Danio rerio: one gene and its partner. The protein of the gene in region 2 binds, or shares a complex with, the protein of the main gene of each other region. Links are inferred from orthologs where the notes say so. Each region holds a gene or a part of one and is shown on either strand. Other genes may lie near its edges.

Evidence for each region. Proteins that work in one complex are often made in the same cells at the same time.
Region 1: the proteins of gdf5 (region 2) and hjv are in contact, whole or in part, in a crystal structure (PDB 6Z3L), measured with the Homo sapiens proteins. The link is inferred for Danio rerio from reciprocal best matches to the Homo sapiens genes GDF5 and HJV. Residues at the interface, in NP_000548.2 of Homo sapiens: Met412, Trp414, Trp417, Phe478, Asp480, Ser481, Lys488, Tyr490, Met493; in NP_001366281.1 of Homo sapiens: Arg95, Arg98, Gly99, Leu101, His104, Ser105, His108.

What each region holds. Positions count from the first base shown.
Region 1 is NC_133191.1:47,328,294-47,332,053, forward strand, and holds the start of hjv (hemojuvelin precursor), read right to left. Parts: upstream 2,641-3,760; 5' UTR 2,576-2,640; intron 597-2,575; 5' UTR 539-596; intron 1-538. UniProt on the Homo sapiens protein: Acts as a bone morphogenetic protein (BMP) coreceptor. Through enhancement of BMP signaling regulates hepcidin (HAMP) expression and regulates iron homeostasis.
Region 2 is NC_133181.1:55,372,895-55,376,554, reverse strand, and holds part of gdf5 (growth/differentiation factor 5), read left to right. Parts: intron 1-2,463; coding exon 2,464-3,326; 3' UTR 3,327-3,660. UniProt on the Homo sapiens protein: Growth factor involved in bone and cartilage formation. During cartilage development regulates differentiation of chondrogenic tissue through two pathways.

The DNA.
Region 1 (3,760 bases), on a different chromosome or scaffold from region 2:
AATGGAAACATCAAGGTCTCATAATGGAACTCAAGAGGATTAAATAAATAAATAAATAAATAAATAAATAAATAAAGCATCACAAAACACAAAAAAAAAGTTTCATTTACAGACATTTTACTGTCCCAAAATGCAATATAAAAATTTAAATACGCTAAAAACACCTATAACTCACAAAAATAAAGAGGAAAATGTTAAAAAACATTTGTGCCATGCCATTTATGATTCAAAACAACACTCTCCATCAGATCATGTCAGAACTGTTCTGTCGATTTGTCCTTGTCAGATTGTCCTACCTCCCATTCAAAAAGTAGCTAGCACATTTTGATGATGTAATGTTACCCATCAGACTTTGCTACCAGTGTACATTTTAATGTGGAGTAGTGGGACATGAAGCTGTAATATCTCCCTAACCTACCCAATCCCTAACCGCAACCTCAGAACCATTTAAATACAGTTTTAGTAGGATAATCTGATGGGTAGGATAAAATGTCAGGACACCAGCATTACACCTGATCATTTAGAAACTTTCCCTTACCTTAAGAGTTACTGAGAGTCATCAAGAGACTGATAATGTCCTGATCGTGTTGAACACCCTTTAAAAGAGAAAGCAGCACATTATAAACTGATCAAATTTTATGGACAGTTGTGTGCATGTTATCACACAACACCAACATCCATGAATTCACACTAGCTGATATCCAAGGCAATACGATCAGAATGCTTCAGGTAATACAATCTGACTGAAAAAAATGGTCACACAATGCTGTCAGTGCTGGCAGTTTGGACTCTCTGCACCGATGTGTTATTTACAAAGCCTCAAGAGCAAACACTGGAGGAACGCGAGAGTAAACTCCAATCCAATATGCGTGTTTGCACTTGACCAACAACTCTGATATCAGCAATCTGTCAAAGGCAGAGCTGAATCCTTTCAGTTTAAACACAACAAACAGATATCAGAAATCTCATTTAAATCTGGTTTCTTTTGGATGCGCTTCAGAGTGTTTTTTTCCTCAACAGTGACAGCTGATTATTTTTTCTGCTAGGACGACTGCTGGCGGGGCAAAGTTACGAGAGTTGCAGGGCAGAAATAGGGGGTCTAAATATACACCCAGCACACCGGCCTACCCCTCCAGCACCTGCCCTAGTGGAAATAGCTGCGTCTGAAAGCTCTGCAGCACAGTAGCAGGTGTGAGACACACAGCAGAAACTCGACAGCTCTCTGTTTCCTTCTGCAGGCTAATTTCAGCCGGACGGAATCAGAATCAGTCCCTCGTTCAACGAACTGTGGAAACGGGTAGAAGCTGGTGTGCAAGCACTTTTACCAAGAGCTCATTTCCACTCCAAATGGGTGTAAATGCTCATGGGCTACCAAACATTTCAGGACACTGAATGCTCAACTGCACAGCTGCTGCTCTTTCAGTCTCACACACAGAAAACAGATTCCAGTGAATTGAAAATCAATGCCTTTCTGCTGGACATGACTGTCATTTCAACTGTGCGTTATGAGAGTAGACAACTATGACAAAGTAGGTTCTTATAGCGGTGCAATCATTGTATGATTATATATATCATTATATGATATTAGTTCTATGATATTAAGTAATAGTTAGCAGTAAAACTTTACAATAAGGTTGTATTAGCTAATGCATTTACTAACATGAACAAACAATGAACAAAACATGTATTACAGTATTTATCCATGTTAGTTAATGAAAATAGTCATTCATTGTTAGTTCATGTTAACTCATGGTGTAATAACTAATCTTTACAAGCATGAATACGGATGTTAATAATGGATTAAATGTTGAACTATGATTAATAAAGGCTGTACAAGTATTGTTCATAATTAGTTCATGTTAGTAAATACATTAACTAATCAAACTCATTGTAAAGTGTGACCTAGTTAGCAATGTGTAAACTATAAAGAGCTACAAGGCTTAATTTTAATGTTCAGATATATTCAGTTTACTGTTTAACTATAGAAGGAAAATGTTTTAAAAATTGTAAACTATTACGAAGATAACATTATATTAAACAAATAATATCTTAAATTCTTTGTGTGGTAGCTTTTTAAATCACAAAATAATCCAAAGTGGTGAACTTAATTACTGTAAGAAAATAACATTGCTTATGTATGATTCAAAGATGATGAACAATTTATTTGGGCTGAATTTAAACAAACATATTAAGTTGAACATTACTAAATTTAATTAGTTTGTTTAAATTCAACACATAAAATGTTTGCAGACATCGTTTTGTTCAGTGTATAGTCAACATTTGAAGTGACGTCTTATGTTAAAAAATATCCAAAAAATACTCCCTGTATAATCCTGTATTTTTTTTTTAAATTGACACATTTAAGTAGTCATAATTCAGGGTATATATGACCTATATATTTGATAAACAGATATTAAAATAAAGTACATTCAAAAATTCCAAAACAGTGTCTAAAGATCAAATATAGTAGCTCTTGAGCAGTATTAAATGTTTGGTCAAACACACTTACATTCACATTAGTTGAATTGTTAATTAATGACAATAAATGCAGGTAAAATATAATATATGAACTCACAGAATCAGAGGACTGTCTCCTGTAGACCGCCGCTGAGATCTTTCCCCGTCACTTCTGACAGTGACGCGCTCGTGTGCGGTGTGATCCGCGTCACCGTCCCGCACTGAAGGAGAAGACGCGTAAATCACCCGCGGTGCGCACCTGCCACACGCGCGCGCCAGCTGACGGAGAGCAGCTCTAGTCTCTCTCTCTCTTTCTCTATGAGCTGTTTGTCAACACACACGTGTTTATCCTAGACACAGCACACGCTCTTATTACTGGATTTGTTTCAATTACATTACGCATAGTTGTTGATTGCAGCAACAGGTTACATAAATTACCCAAAAGAATGTTGTAAATGGTGTAGAAGTGTGATCCAGAATTTTAATCACATTTTATTAAATATTTTTGCTTTAGGTAAAGATTTTATCAAGTGTCCTTAATTTCTAAAATTATGAGATAATTTTTTTTTATTCAAATATTCAAACATTTAGATAAACACTTTAGTAAAAACGATGACAATAATAGGCTAATATGCATTTATTTCCATTATATTTTATTATTATATACTTACTGTATTTATTTATTTCTATTATTATTTTATTTTTAAATGTATTGTTTGTATATTGTATCTTTTATTGTAAAATGTGTAAATATTTGTTGAACCAAATGTTTAAGTTATTGTGTTTGAACTTTTAAAAAACTTTCCCAGTTATGGGTTGCAGCTGGAAGGGCATCCGCTGCGTAAACATAGGCTGGATAAATTGGCGGTTCATTTTACTGTGGCGACCAAGGATTAATAAAGGGCAAAGCTGAAAAGCATGAATGAATGAATGTTAAAAAAGTAACAAGGAAAGCTATAAAAAATAATATTAATAGGCTAATAATAAAATAAAACGGGATTTAAAAACATGTAAAAATGTATTAAAATAAAATGTATAACTACAAAAATATTAATTGTAAACTTTACATAAAAACTAGCTAAATAATTAAATGTGCTGAAATAATATACATTCAACTGAATGTGAAATGTGTAAAAAATAGTTTGAGTTGAAAACATTTATGCAACTAAAGAGAATGGAAATAGTTCCCAAATAATTGTTTAAACCTATTTATAAAATACAGTATAAATCAGGTATTTATACAAAAAAGATGCATTTCGTTACACAATTTCTGATGTTGTCCTGTAAATGACAATAATTAGGC
Region 2 (3,660 bases):
GAAGATAAAAGGGGATATTAGCTCGCATTTACCTTTATTGAAAAAAGTAACCTGTAACATTCTGCAAAACATCTCTTTGTGAAGAAAGAAAGTTATACATGTTTGGTTTAATGTGATTTTATTTTAGGAGAAAGTTTGGAAATCCATTGCACGTTATGTCCTTTTAGTGTAATTCACATCACCGCACACACACACGCACGCACGCACGCACACACACACGCACACACACACACAGTTTTAATCAGCTGCACTCTCTCTGCCCTTCTCCGTGCACTTCAGATGGTCTTTTCAGCCCATGTTAGTGAAAGCCATATGTCACGGTGGTAGGCCCACTGGTAAATAGCTGCAGGTTGATAATAATGCTGTGTTTACAGTATGTTGTGGTCTCCAGACCAAGGTCGTCTGGTTTTAATAGTCTTTTGAAAGCAAACTGTTCTTGGATAAAATGAAACCTTTGATTTTTATAATGCACTGCCTTCATGTTGCATTGCATGCAGAGAGAGAGAGAGACACACACACACACACACATAATCAGGATGTGAATCAGCTCTGATTGTGAAAAAGTTTAGCTGTAGTGCTTTAGAAAAGATCAAAGTGACAGATCATATTAGCATTTAAAAGATAAATCTCTTCAGTTACATCAAAGTTACGTAATGGTATCAGATGGCAATACCATCTAACTGAATCATTTCCATATTTATGCAATATGTTGTTAATTGTGCATGATACACTATAGCTATTCAAAAAATGTCTTTGGATTGCCATGATAAATGTCTAAAAGTTGATATTTACGTAATGCTTTTTTAAAAATCTGTGGCATTACCACCATAAAACACAGTATTAACCTGAAATCATGTGGAAAAAACATAGTATTACTATAGGTAATTGTATTATAATTGTGGGAAGTGTAATAGCATGAAGAAAAACACTTTACACTACCTTACAAAGGTTTTGTCGTTAATACCATTTCTAAGAGCAACAAATAATAACTTGGCTTCTAGTTGATCATTTGGAAAAGTGGCAAAAGGGAGATTTGAATCAGCTGTTGAACTGCATCCCAATCATATCTAATACTGCAGAAGAATGATTAAACCACTTGAAAAAGTGGCAGAAGGTCGATTTTTCAGATGAATCATATGTGAATCTGCATCCTAATCATCACAAATACTGCAAAAGACCTATTGGAACCCGCATGGATCACAAGATTCTCACAGATATCTCAAGTTTCTCAAGTGTAGTGAAGGAAAAATCATGGTTTGGGGCTACATTCAGTATGCAGGTGTGTGAGAGATCTGCAGAGTGGATGGCAACGTCAACAGCCTGAGGTATCAAGACATTTGTGCTCCCCATTACATTACAAACCACAGGAGAGGGCAAATTCTTCCGCCTCCTTCTCATACTTCAGCCTCCACATTAAAGTTCCTGAAAGCAAATAAGGTCACGGTGCTCCAGGATTGGCCAGCCCAGTCACCAGACATGAACATTATTGAGCATGTCTGGGGTAAGACGGAGGAGGAGGCATTAAAGATGAATCCAAAGAATCTTAATGAACTGTGGGAGTCCTGCAAGAACGCTTTCTTTGCCATTTCAGATGACTTATTAATAAAGTTATTAGAGTCATTTCAGAGATGTATGGATGCAGTCCTCCAAGCTCATGGGAGTCATACACAATATTAACTCTGTTTAAACCCCTCCATGACTTTATATTCTGTACTGGACATCATTTCTGTTAAGTGACAAAACTTTTGTCTAAGCAAAGTCAGACCTTACTGCCATAATTAAATAGTGAAAAATCAAGCCATGATCATATTTTATTTTGGTGAAATAAGTGTAATCTAGAGGCTTTTGCCTTCCATATAAGCCACTTTGATACCAAATGATCAACTAGAAGTCAAGATATTATTTGCTGTTGCTAAAACCTGGATAGGCGACAAGACTAGATTACCATTGTAAGCATATTGACATGAAACCTGTATAAAACTCAATGGCATTATCATAGTAAATGTAAACAAGCCACAGTAAACACATCACATTATTGTGATATTATGTGCAAAAAAAGCATGATATCATTATGGTAAATCATGGTATTATTGTGTCCACAAACTAGGGCTAAAGTCTAAAACGTTAATATAATGCATGTGCAAAACTCCACACAATTATCATAATAATCTACAGTATTATCCTGACATCATATGAAAAACCTTGAAATTACTATGGTAAATAATGGTATTATCATGACAAATATAAAATGGCATTGCGTCCAAAAAAAGGACTTGGTAAAAACATTGCACATACCTAAACAACAACAACAAAAAAATGTAGTTGCATATTTTTAAGCCTTATAAGATGTGCAAAACACTGTATTACCATGGTAAAGTCAGAAAAACATAGTAACATGGTTATGGTGCATGTTCTGTAAAACATATATGTCAGCACTGTTTCAACTGAGCTTCTCTGTTGCAGATGAGCGTGCGCCCCTGCTGAGACGCCAGCGGTACCTCTTCAACATCAGCTCAATGGAGAAGGAGGGTCTGCTGGGTGCGGAGCTGCGGATCCTCCGAAAGAAGCACATGGACTCTCGAAAAGCCACTTTCTCTGAGGGCATGGCAGTTCTGAGACTCTTCACCTGCGCCTCAGGTAAAAACGCAGCCGTCCTGCTGCAGGCGAGACCTTTCGACTCTCACAGCGCCTCCTACTGGGAGGTGTTTGACATCTGGAAGGTGTTCAAGAACTTCAGAAACACTCCTCAGCTCTGCTTGGAGCTGGACGCCGTTGATCACGGCCGACCGCTTGACTTGAGGTTACTGGGATTGAGTCGGGCAGGACGGCAAACTAAGGAGAAAGCCTTCTTCGTGGTGTTCGGGCGCACAAAAAAGCGAGGGCTCTTTTACAATGAAATCAAAGCACGGTCCGGGCATGATAATAAGACCGTGTATGAGTATCTGTTCACTCAGAGGCGGATGCGTCGGGCACCGTTGCCGCGTGGGAAAAAACCAATCAAGAACCCCAAACAGAGATGCAACCGCAAGCAGTTGCACGTGAACTTCAAGGAAATGGGCTGGGATGACTGGATCATCGCTCCGCTGGAGTACGAGGCCTTTCACTGCGATGGCGTCTGTGACTTTCCCATCCGCTCCCATTTGGAACCGACCAATCACGCCATCATCCAGACTCTGATGAACTCTATGGACCCTAGATCCACGCCGCCGACCTGCTGCGTGCCCACCAGACTCAGCCCCATCAGCATCCTGTACATTGACTCAGCCAATAATGTGGTGTACAAGCAGTACGAGGACATGGTGGTGGAGAGCTGTGGCTGCAGGTAGCAAGACATGAACATTTACATTTTGGGGTTTTGTGACTTCCAGACTTTGTCACAATGTTTTAATAAGACTGCCAAAACTAAGAGTACGACTTTCATTTGTTGCAAACGTAGCCCAGGGATGCCCAAACTCGGTCCTGGAGGGCAAGTGTCCTGCATATTTTAGTTCCAACCCCAACTAAACATAGCTGAACCAGCAATTCAAGCTCTTTCTAGATATACTAGAAACTTCTAGACAGGTGTGTTGAAGTAAGTTGTAGCTAAACTCCCTCTAGGAACGAGTTTGGAGACCTCTGCGTAAGCATTTCAACATGGATGGTTGTGCACAATGCTGAATT